Linked DNA regions of Schizosaccharomyces pombe. Changing the gene in region 3 together with the main gene of any one other region gives a genetic interaction. Each region holds a gene or a part of one and is shown on either strand. Other genes may lie near its edges.

The links.
Region 1: of pek1 (region 3) and cch1, changing one suppresses a phenotype caused by changing the other (phenotypic suppression), as found in Schizosaccharomyces pombe (2 studies listed by BioGRID).
Region 2: of pek1 (region 3) and rho2, a mutation in one rescues a mutant of the other (synthetic rescue), as found in Schizosaccharomyces pombe (one study listed by BioGRID).

The regions. Positions count from the first base shown.
Region 1 is NC_003424.3:2,724,552-2,732,185, reverse strand, and holds the start of cch1 (plasma membrane calcium ion import channel Cch1), read right to left. Parts: upstream 6,028-7,634; 5' UTR 5,468-6,027; coding exon 1-5,467. Other genes in the region: SPOM_SPAPB2B4.07 (ubiquitin UBTD1 family protein), read right to left, coding at 7,091-7,634. UniProt on the Schizosaccharomyces pombe protein: Voltage-gated, high-affinity calcium channel that functions together with yam8 to mediate calcium entry into cells. Required during conditions of environmental stress.
Region 2 is NC_003424.3:4,420,974-4,425,173, reverse strand, and holds rho2 (Rho family GTPase Rho2), read right to left. Parts: upstream 2,484-4,200; 5' UTR 2,173-2,483; coding exon 2,147-2,172; intron 2,063-2,146; coding exon 1,984-2,062; intron 1,868-1,983; coding exon 1,862-1,867; intron 1,809-1,861; coding exon 1,770-1,808; intron 1,658-1,769; coding exon 1,617-1,657; intron 1,549-1,616; coding exon 1,530-1,548; exon of another isoform or gene 1,482-1,529; coding exon 1,389-1,481; exon of another isoform or gene 1,345-1,388; coding exon 1,210-1,344; exon of another isoform or gene 1,163-1,209; coding exon 998-1,162; 3' UTR 528-997; downstream 1-527. Other genes in the region: protein nst1, read left to right, coding at 2,963-4,200. UniProt on the Schizosaccharomyces pombe protein: Involved in cell morphogenesis, the maintenance of growth direction, control of polarity and of cell wall integrity. Regulates the synthesis of alpha-D-glucan through activation of pck2.
Region 3 is NC_003423.3:4,310,669-4,314,668, reverse strand, and holds pek1 (MAP kinase kinase Pek1), read right to left. Parts: upstream 2,227-4,000; 5' UTR 1,907-2,226; coding exon 815-1,906; 3' UTR 529-814; downstream 1-528. Other genes in the region: fit1 (CoA pyrophosphatase (FIT) family lipid storage protein), read right to left, coding at 1-181; ATP-dependent RNA helicase Dbp8, read left to right, coding at 2,913-3,042, 3,110-3,233, 3,323-4,000. UniProt on the Schizosaccharomyces pombe protein: Involved in the mkh1 signal transduction pathway that plays a role in cell wall integrity. Activates spm1/pmk1 via phosphorylation.

The sequences.
Region 1 (7,634 bases), on a different chromosome or scaffold from region 3:
CAGTTCCAAATCCTGCTTCGATGTCAAATGAAGTTCGGTCGTTATTTGAATGTAAAGAATGAGATCCACGAAGAAGGACTTCTTTGAGAGAAGGTGATCTTCGAGGTTCATTATCAGTTGGTACCTTCAAATGATCTTCCACGCTATGGTTATCATCACCTTCACCCGAAGCGATTGTCGGTACAGTCGATTCAACGATGGAGAAACTGCGATCACTAACTGAAGGTGTTCTAGTTGACATTAAAAGTTGCTCTGGATCAGCATTATGTTGGCGAAGGACTTCTTGAATGGGTGTTTCGGGTAAAATCTCAGAAACTTCACTCAAAAGTATGAAAGGATTTTCTAAAGCTTTCTTCTTTTCTTCCATATGTTGAAGGAATGTTTTTCTGATGATTGAAGTTTCAACCAAACCCAACAACTTTTCCATTCTAATAGATTTTTCCAATTCCGAAAGTACGTACGCTCGGCGAATGTAGTCAGAAATAGGAAATGCTTCACGATGATCAACAATTTTATGAAGTACAACTAACATCAATATATTCGAAAAAGAAATGACGTTGCCCGGTAGTGTCATAATCTCTGTACAGAGAGAATTCAGTACGTTTCTTCGCTCTTTCACTACGTTTACATCAATAGTATCAATAATTTGGTCTAGCGCCTCTAAGTTTATTTCAGAACCCATCAAGGGATTTTCGAGCATTGGGACAGATTGCTGCCCAGTTTTACTCTGAACTTTGGAGATAATGCTTCTCAATGTATGTTCATCTCGATATATTCTGAAATCATAGACACCCCTTAGCGAAAGAACAAATTTTACAGCATTGCGTTTGGGAATATAACCGGTGACCATGGGGTCAAAAGGTGCCCATGAATCCTTAAATTGTCGGAAATCGTTACGCTGCAAATTTGTAAACGAGGAAGATTTAGTATGGATGTAGGAAAAGTTGTCGAAAACAACAGTAATAAACATATTAACAAAAATGTACATTGAGATAATATTCCAAGCAATAAACAATCCATAAGCCCACGGTTTGTTACCGCAGTCTGAATTGTAGAAATCGTCACCATTCACACAATTAGGATATGATATAGTATAATCATGCATTACATCGTTCCAGCCTTCTCCAAAGGTCATCGTAAAAAGCAAAACAAGAGCATTGCGTATTGACCTAAAGTTTTTGTTAGGCCCTCCATTCAACCCAAGCTTGGTCAACCCGAAAATCTGATTAAACGCTATAGCAAAGGTAATGTATAAAACAATCCATGTCGCAATCAATGAAAAAATAGAAGGTAAGCTTGCAACCACAGTTTTAGAAAGCTGATCAAAATTGTCAAACTTCGGAATTAGATGCACAGTAACTAACACCAATAAAGTAGTTTGCAGGAGTGTTAACGACCTATTTTCAAACTTTGCAAGGATAGCAATATTGCAAGTGAGACTTCCTAATGTTACAACGACATCAAACATATTCCAAAAACTGTGAAAAAAATAGTAGAATGAAAGACCGTAAACTTTGACACATATGTTTATCGTATAACATATTGACAGTATTAGAAATATAGAGTTTCGAACATAAGTGTACGCTATAGGACAAGGATAAAAAATGGTTAGAAGGAACAAGAGATGCACAATATACAACCCAGTAAATGTCCTTCTCCATATGCCATGTTTTTGCACTGCAAAGTCGTAACAAAGTCCTCTTAAACCCAGAGGTCTAATGGCCGGCCTTTTCGACGGACGCATTGATTTTATCTTCCTGCGCAGTTCCAACCACGCGCGCTGTTCCGCAGTAAAGAAAGCCGACCCTGTACGTTCAGCATAATTGCTGATGATGATGGCAATAAAAAGAGTCAATATATAAATCATTGAAACAAGGTTGAACAACACAAAGAACATAGCATTACCAGAAGAGGCATTGGTCTGGGGTTGATTATTGAATCCAGTAATGTCCATTACCGAACGCATAATGTCTACCCATCCTTCAATTGAGGCGATTTCGAACAAAGCGAGTAGAGCATGAGGAAATCTATCAAAATCGTAATCAGGGGGATTGGACCAGACTCTTGGTGCCCAAACCTCCCAATTATTAGGAGTGGATGCGTATTCTAAAACACACTGAGAAGCTGATAAAACGTTGTCATCATTACAACTGTATAATAATCCACCAAAAACGTTTTTAGCCCACAGAGCAAAAGGAATTAGCAACGTTGCCGACACAACGGCGGCAGAAAATATTTTAAAAAAACCACTAATTAGGGCGTCATGAAACATCCGCTGTGAAGTTTGTGTAAGATTGATTAATCGAAGCACACGAAGCGCTTTGAATGCTCGAAAGGCTCGGGAAAGCAAGGCATGGCTTGTTAATACTGCATAAAGATTGATCCATAAGGTAACCAAAACGAAAAAGTCGATGCAATTCCAAGTACTTCGAAGGTATGCATTTGGTGTAATACAAAATCCATCAGCTATTATTTTTATAGCGGCTTCAATTGTAAAAATAGTTGCAAAAGCTACCTCTGTCCATACAAACCATGCATGTTGTTTATCATTCAATAAATGGTCTCGCTCATAAATAGGTGTAGCAATGCATTCAATAATCACTGCAGTTAGAATACAAGCATAAATAAAAACTTGTATTACACGGTAAACCCATTGATATGGCTCAACACCGCCATATCGTTCATTCACACCGGGCATTACCAGTCGTTGACAAAACCTCCTAATTCTATTCGACGGTTTAATGACCCAAAACACATCATTATACTTTGGGTGATTCTTTAAAAATTCGGTCTGCTTAATTCGGACAAATGCTTTAGCAGCTTGCATATCTTTCGCTGCAGTCTTGAGATTCATATCCTTTTCCCAGCGTATACCGATAACACGTTTGAAGTATGCTTGAGAAAAAGGGTCATCACGCATAACAAATCTCTTAAAGTTATTTGACAGCTTTGCCAGTGAATATTTAGATAACTCGGGTGAGGTATCCAAACTCGGTTTAAGTGGCTCTTTAGGAGGAATATTAGTAACACGCAAAAAGCCTTTAATAATATTGTCTTCATATAACCACTCATAATGAGATTCATCCACTGTCTTCCCTTTTCGAGATCCATTCCTTTTAATTAAGGCATTCAAAGTAAGGGAAGCTTGAAAAGGATTATAGTTCCTTAATAACCTAGCTAAGTACATTTTCAATTGTTCCATTTTTAGATCAGATTCTGAAGGTGCAAAGTTTACCTGAATGACAGCAATAAACATACTTAAAACCACGTTGTTTGAAAAGAGAAACCAAAGAGTAAAAAAAGCTCCAGGAATCCACGATAAGTGAAGATGTGCTAATCGAGCTTGGATTGCAAACATCACATCCGTCCAATTCTCACTTGTCAAAATCTGGTACATGTATAAAAACGATTCGTAAGTAGTAGCGAAGCTAATCGCATCATCGTCTGAATCTCCGTCATTGGGCAAATCTTGAAACAACCTGACAGCGCACAAAGATGCAATGAATAAGACGATTACCAAAAATAGCATCAAATTTAGCAGTTGTTTAAAATTTGAGAACAAGAGTTTAGCAATTTTCCGTGTATAGGGAATCAAAAGAATGCATCGGTATATCCTAGCAATAGCAAATATTGACAACCAACCAAAAGCTACAGGATTTTTTCTAATACTCGGTAATAAAGTAACCAAATTCAAAACGGCCAAGACAATATCAACCAAATTTGTATACCGTCGAAAAAAAAGCCTATAATCTGGCAAGTATGCAAAAAATCTAAGAATCACTTCTGCAGCCAGTAGAAAGTCCACACAAGCGTAAAAGATTAGGTACCTATTTGCAGTGCTAGAAGTTTGATCATATGTTTGAGTACAAAGAGTTACAAACTGGGCTACTATAAAACTTATCCAAATAAAGTTCGAGTAAAATAGGTACTTCTCACATAACTTATTTCGAATGAGATGTTTATCAACAGATTTTTGTTCTTTTTGATTCTTTCCGGAATGCTGCAAGTCAATAAAAGAACTCGTTACCACTGCAATCACAAGGGACATGAGCCAGAGTGTAAGAAAATATGCAGATATTATGAAAAGGAGACAAGAAACAAAATATTCTGCATCCATGATATCGTACATAATATCCGTGAACCCATTGGAACTCATTATAACAAATATCAATTCCAAAGAATTGAAAAAATTGTCAAAGCTAACAGTGTTACTGTAGGGGTTTTCCACCACGCGACAAACACTTTTTTCAGCACAGATAAAACCTCTGGGGTTCACGTTGGATGGAAATCCATTTTTATCTAAGTAAGCCCTTTTTATACCATTCTCCCAATGACCACCACAAAATTGACCAGTAGGTAAATACTGGTCCCCGTAATCACCAAGCCATACGCATTGACGATTCAGTGATGCCTTAAAAAATTGAACACCCAATATAGCTATCATTACCCCAAAGAAAGCATTAAACGAGACGACTTGTACTAAAGGTGTAGACGACTCTTTTAAACTTTTTAGGATGGTTTCAGTTTTTCGAGTTATATTCAACAGCCGAGTTAGGCGCAAACAAGCAATCATACTAAAAAGCCGAAAAATACCTTGCTGTTTTTTACCAATTACAGAGATCCATAAAGCAACAATAGCCACAAAATCGACACGATTCCATGAATGTCGCAAATAAGACATTGTTCTGGGAGTTTTCTTGGTATACGAGTTTATGAAATCATAAAATGAAGAGGAACCATCATATAAAAAACCAAATAAATAGATTTTGAGCAACATCTCTAACGTATATAAGATACCGATTACAATAATTAAATAATCGATAGTTTGAGACTTATCATGAGGGTCATCAGAACGAATCATTAGTAAAACCGCATGTAGCACAATTACAACAAAAATAAAGATATTGTATAAAGGGTGATTATAAATTTGGCGGAGAATTGGGGAAAATGGCAAGTTTCTTCCGGGTGTTTCATTAGCTCTTGGAGGGCCAACAACTCTCAAAACCGCAGCGTAAATTTCGGAAAAAAAATGAGTAAAATAAGGAGATAGTTTATCAAACAAGAAAGGTTTTCTAAATCTCCTTAGACTGGTGTAATCTCCCTTGGTAGTTTTATCTCCATTCAGAAGACCTTTATCTAGTGTTTCTGAGTACCTAGAAACAGTAGGATAGGCCAATTGAAGTTCAGACAAGATTTTGTCCTGCTCATCAACAGTTTCGGTTATGCCAAGGTTATGAAATTCGACACCGTCGCTGGTCATGGAAATCGTATCTTCATCATCTGCAACATTATACTCAAATGGGTTAACATTATCCAAATAGGAATCATCATGGGAATCAAAAGAATCGTTTACGAATGGATTTTTTTTATTTATGTAGGAAGAGGTATCTTTAGGATTATCTTTAAGGGGAATGAAATCGGTATTATCAGGGCTAGAGCTTGGATCTGAGTTTGAGCTTGATGACATTACACTTCTTAATTTTTTTTAAATGATGAAAAAAGACTGAAGGAATGTAGAAAACGTCGAAAACCAGAACCTCTTAAGAGTCAAGGAGCTTCTCTAACACGGGAAATGCAAAAAAAAGGAATAGATATAGTGCAACAAGATTTAATTATAAAACGTAACGAATAGAATAAATATTTAAAGTCAAAATAACGATTGAAATAAGGAAAAAGGACTAACAGGAGGATGTAGTTCATAAACCGTTCAAAGAGAGACAAATGTAAAGAAAAGAGTCCAATTGCCAGCGTTCATGAGATATGGAAAACGACAATGTATGCTAAAGTAAAGTATATTAATAAATGACGAAAATGAATGCAAGTTTAAATTGTAAAGAAACAGTGAGGTGTAAAAATGCCGCCGACACAAATTTTCGAGTTGTTGCCCGGAACTCAAATTGTACGAATGCTTCAATAGTTTTAGTTTCACACTTTTTATATTCAAAAAAATAGACAAAAGGAATAAATAAAACTTTCAAATCTACGTTTTCTCAAGGTGCTTGCTTAACCCAATGTTGGTAGTCCGCTGGAGAGGATTGTTCCCAAACCTGGCAATATGGACAGCACTGGGAATAGTAGGAATGGTCGACCCGTATGGTTGGTACGGAACCGCGAAGACAGGGAAGATGAAAAATTAAAACTCTGGGTTAATTTTAAATGTGATTTTAGTTTGCAAGTATGTATAGGATAATTGATAAACACATTCAATACTTAAATAAACTATTAGTTTAAGCAATATATAGATAGTTTTTTTAATAAACAGATATTTTTTCTTCCTATTGAATACAAAATTTATTTCTTCCTTCCAAACTTCTTTATCTCACATCTATTACTTAATGAAATGCTTTATTTTCGATAGGTTTTGTAACGAAAGCAAGAAATTACGATAGTAACAAATTTTCGCAAACGATATAAACGTCTAGCAAATAAATTAATTCAATGGTAATAGAATTATGGTATGTCCAACAAGATGAAATAATTGAAGCGGATAACAAATAAGATGTACTCTAATTGAATAATCTCGAAATCGACATCAATGAAGGGTAGAAGAAAAAATACCAACTATTATAACTTATACCAAATTTGTATAGAAAAATTATGAAAAATAGCGAAAAGATATGCTTCATCATGAAAAAAATTCAAGAATGAAAGAAACATATGTAAAAGACTAATCGTAAAGCATCAAATTGAAACCTCAACAAGTCTTCAATATCCATAACGGACATAAAAAGGAATGAGACAGTGCTGATAAGAAGGGTGAAAAAATCAAATTAAACAGCTGAATTTGTACAGCAAACTAAGGGTCAAATAAGCAGGATTAAAAGAAAATACCGAGGAGAATCGTATGTCTCAAAAAATAGAAAAGAAAATGAAAAATGATAATTAAAACAAACAAAGAGTTCAAAGAAAAAGCCTTTGGCTGAACACAAAGAAGCAACAACGCGAAAATCACATTCACGATACAACCATCAGACCAAAAACTACTTTTCTTTTTAGAAAAAAAAAAGTTTTCATAAATTGTACAGTTAGCTCTAAAACATCGCTAGAAATAAAAGGAAGGATCGGTTTTCAAAGGAAGAGAAATAAAAGCTTACATAGCTTGAATGATCATACCAGAAGTCCAACCCTGTTGGGATAAACTTTTTTTAAATTGAAGGACGCGTCCAAGGAAAAAAAATCTTTGGACATTTTCAAGTCCTACTTCTTCTAATTGGGACTTGGCATGAGAAAAAGGAAGATTGGGATTAATCTGAATCGAGTAATCTTTGTCATCCTTACTGTAACGGATTAAGACGGTTTCCAAAGACGAATCCAATTCCGCATCCTTTAGCGATGCTATGGATTTTGTGGTGGTATCATGCTCCTCTGGGGATTTTGTAGGGTCGTTGCTACTTATCATGTTATCATCCTCATCGTCGAGTGAATCTTTTCGTTCTGCAAAAGCACGAGGGATACGAGCCACAATTTTAGGAATTTCATAAAAAGTGCCTTTTGAATCGTATACACCCTTACTAATATCGTTTTCTGGAATCGTCAAATCCGCCGCCAATGCCATTTCGGTAGCCGCTTCAGCATTTCCTTCGTACAATAAAGTCACTACTTTGTGCAAAACATCCCATATTTCTTTTGAGCCA
Region 2 (4,200 bases), on a different chromosome or scaffold from region 3:
TAATATCCTTTGTCTGTGATGTATTTGAGTATGAATTTATCTCTCTTTATTGGCGATTTCCTTTCTTACGATCAAGAATGAAAGGAATGTGTAATTTTTAGTGTAGTTCCGGATTTTTGCCGCGTATTTGTCATTCTTTATCATTTGGATGGATTTTGGTTGTTTTTTTTTGGTTGTTGTTCTTAATGAAGTGAACGCCCGAAGAAAAGTTAGTTGTTGGAGTATGGGTGTTTAAAGGGTATATAATTTCACATAGTTGTTTGATGAGAGTGACCACTTTAACTCTTGCCAGTCTTGATTTCCAACCCATTAATGCCCAGAAAAAAATAGGCTCGAAACTTTAGTAGGTGATAAATTTTGATATGGTTGTATACCTTTGGCGGTGTCTTAATATTTAGCTTAAATGAGCCAGAATTTTGAATTTGACCGCCCCATAAAATTACTTAGCGAAGTGAGCCTACGTATTAAATGTATCAATAAGGAAAACTGACATTTTCTATTAGCCTAAGAGAACAAAAGCATATGTACATATATGAATTTTGTACTTCATAATGAGCGCAAGCGGCAGTTCTAAAAATAAAGTCCTATGATCTTTTAAACAAAAAGTAGTTTTCATGAGGACAATAGATGCTGAAAAAGAATGAAAGATGTTTAAGAGTAAAAAAAAAAGGTAATAATAACTGAATGCGGTTTGCTTAATGAAATGAAAAAGGAGGCTAGTGTCGTTCGACCGATGCGTGAAGATTATAATGATGAAAATAATAATAATACTCCTGAGTCTCAAAATAAAATAGGAACTAAATTTGAGGTATAGGGGAGAAAAAGAAAAAAGTAAACGACAGAAGTGAAAGTGAAAACGAAATGAAACAACGGCAAAGAACAAATGCGAAGAAAAGCAAAAAAGTCTATCAGCTTTTTGTAAATGTAGGTCGCATAAACTGATAGGCTTTCCTATAAACTGAAACATGAATGTTTGCAATCGTTAGGATATTAGTAATTATGAAATGATGCAGCATTTTGTAGAACTCTTGTCATTTTCCGAATCCCGAACTGTTAGTGCTGCCCTAGTAGCAGCTTCAAATACATCGTCCACGCCGTCACCAGTCAATGAAGAACATTCCATATACTTTCTCGCACCAATCCGCTGAGCTACTAATTCAGCCTGATATCAAGAATTAGTATTCACGTGTTTGAATTATTAATATATACCTGTTGTGATTTTACAAAATTTTGATTTCGACGTCGCATTTCTTCAATAGCAACGGGATCTGACCTTAAGTCGGCTTTCATGCCCACTAAAATAAACGGAACATTTGGGCAAAGTGTATTAATTTCCTCAATCCACTATATAATGTTAATGACTGGAAAAAACAATTAATGAAACGAACCTTCGTAGAAACATTTTCAAGTGAATCAGGAGAGTCTATCGCAAACCCAACCAAAATAATGTGTGCTTTAGCGTAAGACATTGGTCTTAATCTCTGCATTGGGTTAACGACGTATTTCTCACTATTAATAACGAAACAAACCTCATATTCCTCTTGACCTCTAAAACAAGAATTAGTATGCAGGAATACATAACATATAGTTTTAACATCAGAAAAAAAAGTACTTACGCGGTATCCCACAATGCCAGTTGAACTGATTTTCCATCAACCTATTTTAGTTAGTATCAAATGTATTAGCAAAACCCAAAGAAAAGGGACCAGTGGGAAAGTAACTTTCTGTAACCAACTGAAAAAGCTCAATAACTTGTTAATCACACATACTCGACAATCTGAAACATAGTTTTCAAACACAGTCGGAACCTATAGTAACTGTTATTAAAAAACTCTACGAAATAAAGAGAAAAAAGCATTACATATTCCTATCGCCAGTAAGTTAGTAAATAAATAAATAAATAAGGTAGAAAAGACAATAAGTATTTGCGTATCGTGCAATATGCGATAAGCCAAAGCTCACTTTTATGACATCTGTACTTACAGTAGGAAAATATCCCAAAGTGAAAACGGATAACAAAGACGTCTTCCCGCAGGCACCATCGCCTACAACTACTAGTTTCCTTAAAAATATTAATATTTAAAGAAAATGAATTTGAGTAGAAGAAATAAAAGAAGCAAAAAGATATTAGGCCATAGAATCGTACCTTCTAATCGGTTGAGATTGCAACATGTACTTTTTAATAGGGAGCGGATTAAACACTGTATGAGGTTTTTTCTATGCAAATTTTTCTTAAAGAATGATTCACTGCAGATCAGACAACCAAAATTTCCCGGTTCGAAAAGCTGTAAAAATTAAACCAAATAGGTGTGAATTTTTGAAATATAAGAAATGAGTAAGCGATTGTCGAAATAGTCAAATGAAGCGATTAGCCAAACGTCCAAGCCTTTCAATTAGAGCAACGAAAAGTAGTATATGCACAAAAATTAGCTTCTCAAAGAGTATTTGTTCAAGAAATGTGGTTTTGGTGACATTTATCCCATGCGGATTATAGACACTTTTGGTGTTAAGTATCGTAAATTCAATTTATTGGAATCGTACGCTTCCTTATTGCACCTTAACATGCCTTAAAGAACTAATTTTGCACGTTAAGATGCATTAAATATGATAAAACGCCATTTGCCGTTTGGCTTTATTCACCACATTCTGCAAAGCAGCAATTGAACTAGTTAAATCCAAAAATCTTTGTGATTTGGATCATCTGGGTTGAAATCCCTAAGAAGATATACTATTTCAAGTACTTTGGGGTATACTGTTTTTGAATATTGAACTAAGAAAAGGTGGGCAGTTCGGCATTTAAGAATTTTAGGGATTACCCTTAAAACATTGCCAACGCAGACCCGTGAGCTACAATTTGAATAAAAAAAATAATTTAAATTATTTTTTTTTTAAATCGTTAGTTTCATATTTTAAGCTCATAAAAAAAGAGGCGTTGTTGGTAGGCGATTTTTAAAAAGAAAACATGAATGATAAAGCTCTTCGCACCGAAGCACTCAGTGTAGGGTTAGAACCTCCAAGTTTCAAGGATCTTCTTATACCTATTCCCAACTCTGGTACAAAGAAAAAGAATAAAAAGAAGAAAAAACCGAAAGCCAAGAAAAATGTCGAGACTCAAGCAAACGTGGATTTGCTTGGGTCGGCAGGGACCGATTCTGCAGTTACAGACGTTGGCGCGAATAATGGTGTCATAGATCATCAAGCGTCTTTGGAACTTTCAAATTTGAATTCTCGTATTTCTCATCCGCAGCTGGTCTCGGCAAATGGTGATGATTCATCGTTGATTAACGTCGAAGGAATATCTTCGACGGATTGGCAATTCACTCTTGAATCTGACGATACCATAGAACATTCTCCCCAATGTATTCTTTCTACCTCCAGTTTCGTGGATGAAGCCGAGTTTCCAGTTCATATACCTGGTTTGGAAGACGCGACGTCGTCCAATATGTCACCGAACTCCGTTCAAAATAATATGAATTTGAATACAGTAGCGTTAGGTTCGTCAACTTCATCTAAACGGAAAAAGAAAAAGAAGAAGAAGTCAAAAGCAAATAGTGCATCGTTGAATGTGGATGATCAAAGAGATTTTGAACAAGTTTATTCTACGGACGTTGCTATTACTTATAGGAATGGGCAAGCGCTTTCTTATTACAACGGTTCTGTGCGTCAAGCCAGTATGAATAATAACGTTAACAATAATAAATCCAAAGATATTTGGAGCAGTTCGAATACTGAGGAGCGGGAGCAAATTCGGGAATTTTGGCTTTCCTTAAGTGAAAGTGAACGCAGGTCGTTAGTTAAAGTCGAAAAAGAAGCTGTTTTGCAAAAAATGAAAGAGCAACAAAAATACTCATGCTCTTGTTCGGTGTGTGGAAGGAAACGTTTAGCAATTGAGGAAGAGTTGGAAGTACTGTATGATGCTTACTATGAAGAATTAGAACAATATGCTAATATTCAACGTAACCTTGCAAATACCGAGTCTGTAAACGCTTCAGACGAAGGTTCAGACAAGTCCCAGAAAGGAATCATCTCCGATTCACCTAAGCTTTTATCGATTCCTCTGAACAACGTACCATCAAAATCTCTCAATGATGATATAACCCAAGACGAGTTGAATTCTTCAAATGCTGATGTTGATGAAGAAGTCATTGAAACTACTAGCTTGGAGGAAAAAAACGTGGATAATCAAGAATTCGTCACTTC
Region 3 (4,000 bases):
TAATCAAATTTTTCGAGTTTCCAAAGTAAGAGGTAATCGACCATTTGTCAACATAAATGCTATAAATGCTACCTAGAAGAAGTGTAGTGGCATATATTTCAAACAGAAGTATATCTTTGCGACGAAGCTTCAATATAGAGGTTTCTTCATTCCAATAATGACTAGCAGTTTTTTCAGTCATTTTTTTTAAATAATTTTTATTAGGCAGACAACGTATACAAATTAAACTTAAAAATAAAGATAGAACGGTGTAGTGAAAAGCAATTAATTCATTGAAAGAGTTAAGGACATGTATACCCTGGGAAGTTTGGTGTAGTTACACCACCAACTTACGTGCGTAGACTAGAAAAAAAACGAATCATTGCCTCACGTTATAAGAGAACGAAAAGAAATAGTCCTTAATTGTGGATAATTAAATATACGAATTCTTTCGTTTTTTAAGTTGCCATATAACGCCTATTTTGCCTATTTTTGTTAAAAAGCTAGCAAGGCGTAAATCTATCATTTCTCGCTACGATTTGAGTATGCATAATCAAGCCAAAATTATTTCTGTTAAAAATGTTAAACCCATAAAATTACTATAAAGGAGGTATTTGTATAAAGAAAATTAGAAAAACCGTTAGCAATTAATAAAAAGTATATATTATTATGACTTTCCTATTTATTTCATACAACAAGCGAACTGGAAGACAGTTAGACTCATAATATTTTGCCATTAATCAGATTATGCATTCTCCAATGTAAAGAAATTTAGCATAAGAATTTTCAAACAGAATTTATCAACTTACAGTGCTAACATATGACACTATTTCTTCTAATCAGACCAGACTTGACGAAGGAACTCTTCCATGTCCACATGAATTCTCTCAAACGCTTTAACCCAAGGATGGGTAAGCATTTTTTGGGGTCCAGGACGACGAGTTTTGTCTTTATCCAGACACACGCATAGAAAATGTTGAAAGGATTTCGACCATTTAATACCGGGTTCTTGAGGTAAAAGGGGAGGTGGCATATTTATTATATACGAGAGCAATTCAATAGGCATTGGTGGGGGGCTACCCTCGGGAGGGAATGGAAACCGGTTTAATGCGACCTCCATCAATGTTAAACCCAAAGACCATATATCTGACGATATAGTATAAGATCCCCCAGAAATTCGTTCAGGCGCCATGTAATACGAAGTTCCAGTGAATGTGCCAGCGAGAGAGTTAACCAATTCTCCAGATACACCAAAATCGCATAACTTCACTTGACCTTTTGACGTCAGAAGGATATTTGATGGCTTAATATCACGGTGTATTATTTTCCTGTCATGTAAATAGCTTAAACCGCTAAGGACACCGAATGCAATCTTGCCCAATGGTCGTTCTCCAGTGCGTCCACCTTGACTGCGTACGCGTTTGTATATCGCGTCGAGAGATCCTGCTCCGCAATATTCCATAGCTATGTTTAACTGACACTCTGCGTTATTGTAGCAAGCGCCATAATATTTAACGATGTAAGGAGAGGTACAACTTCTGTTGATTTTTAACTCTCGAAGGAGTTGCTTTTGTAAAGCGGTATTCGGAGCAGCTAATACAGTTTTCATAGCGAAAATCATCTGAGTCCCACGAATTCTGCATTTCCTTACAGAGCCACTAACACCTTCACCTAGACTGTTCATGTACAAAATACCTCCATTTGTAACCAATTCATGTAGGTGATCATCATCAAGTTCTTCCAGAAAGGAAGGAACAAATGTTTTACTATCCCGGCTCTCCTTTCGCTGAGTTAATTTCGACTCGCTAGAAAACACCAGGTCTGTAATCTCGACAATTCCTTGATTGTCATTACGTTCAGGATGACTTATATATTCTTCAGAGAACCCATTACTGGTATCTAAGTTCAAGACAGGTTTTTTGGACATAGAGGCATGGGCGCTTTCTTCGATATTTTTTCAATTTGTAGAAAGAGTGACAAGAGATGACTGATACCAAGTCCAAAAGTTTGTTTGTATTTTTAACAAACTTCAATTTTTATTCTTCTTTTCCAAAAACGCAAGGAAAGTAAATTCTAACGTATGGTCTTCCCGCTAAATAAACCTACCAATTATAAACTTTTTTGAAGTTTTTGCTTCCTGAATTAGAAAATTAGAGGATAGCACTATAAACGGAAACTTTGATGGAAGAGTTAATTCCTCGCAAACAAACAACCGAGGCCTCTATTAGAAGAAATCGTATAGTTTTCGGAAGCTATACTAAATACGATTGACCATTATTAGTATAACCTACATTTCTAAATTAGGACTTCACTAAATAACTTATGGACTTAGCTATGTAGATACGTTATTTTAGAATTAGTGAGACCTTTGTTAAAACGACTTCGGGAATTGTTCATTACGAGTATAAGTTAATGTAATTATGAGACTATCATATCCTGTGAGCTTTCTTCTTTTATTTACTATAAATGTCTACCTCTAAAATTATAATTAATTTTGTTCAAGGAAAACATAAAAGAATATATTTATCATTGCATGATTTTCTATGGCTTATAATAACTACATACAATCCGTTAACTATTATAAGAACACGATTAACTACGTAAAGTTCAAATATTGTGTTTTGCACGTTGGTTTACCGAAAAAGCACTAAATAACTTACAAGCAAACTGAAGAAATTAGTTTGAGTTCTATCTGTACTTATTTTAGAGAACAATAAAAACTTTATGTTAACCATATGAAGATTTTATCTGTGTATGTTGACCTAAAAGTCATTGAAAAATGTCGCATCAGCAATAATGTCTAAAGCAGCGTAATGTAGCGTAGCGTGTTAATTTTGCAGTAAGGGCAACAAGTTGAATCCCAATAGTTTGGTTTGACAGTACAGTAACCATTATATTTAATTTAAATAAAACCCTTACATCGGGGAGAAAACATGTCAGAACATACAAGAAAATCATTCTCTGATTTAGGAATATCGCCATGGCTTATCGATACGCTAAAAGCACTTGCAATATATGAACCTACAGATATTCAGGAAGGAGTAATTGCTCAGATTTTAGAAGGTATGCTTACAAAAATTAATAAAGTAAAATTAAGTGTAAAATGTGCCTAACAAATAAAAATTTATAGGACGTAATTGTATTGGAGGTGCTAAAACAGGTTCTGGTAAAACTGCTGCTTTTGCTTTGCCTATTATTGAAAAATGGTCTAAGGATCCATCAGGAATATTTGCTCTTATTTTGACACCAACCAGGTATAAAATATAACATTATTGTACTTTTTCTTAAAATTTAAATTAGTATAAATGTTAACTATTCTACTACAATTAGCTAACTCGAACAGAGAACTTGCAATACAGATTGATGAACAATTTGCTGCTTTAGGTGCTAATCTTAATTTAAAGCATGCGCTCATCGTTGGAGGCATGGATATGATACGACAATCTATTGATTTATCGAAACGGCCCCATGTTGTTGTAGCTACTCCTGGTCGCCTAGCTGACTTGATTAGAAGTAATGGTGAAGAAACGATAGCCGGACTACGTCGAATAAAATTTTTGGTAATGGACGAAGCCGACCGTTTGTTGTCTCCTACCTTTGCTGATGACTTGGATGATTGCTTTTCTGTTCTTCCAGCCTCTGAAGATCGTCAAACGCTTTTGTTTACTGCAACTGTTACTGATGCTATTCGTCAGCTCAAATATCAGCCACAGAAAAATAATAAGCCTCCCCTTTGGTTATACGAAGTTGAAACTGATAACATTTCCGTACCTTCTACTTTGCAGCAAAGTTACATATTTGTTTCCTCACAAGTACGAGAAGCTTATTTGGTGCATTTGTTAACGATTCCTGAGAACGCTAAAAAGTCTGCAATTATCTTTGTAAATCGGACTCGCACTGCTGAATTGATATATTCTATTCTTCGATTGCTCGAGCTTCGTGTCACCGAACTTCATTCAGAAATGGTACAACGTGAAAGGATCAATTCACTTGGACGGTTTCGTGCGGAAGCTGCAAAAAT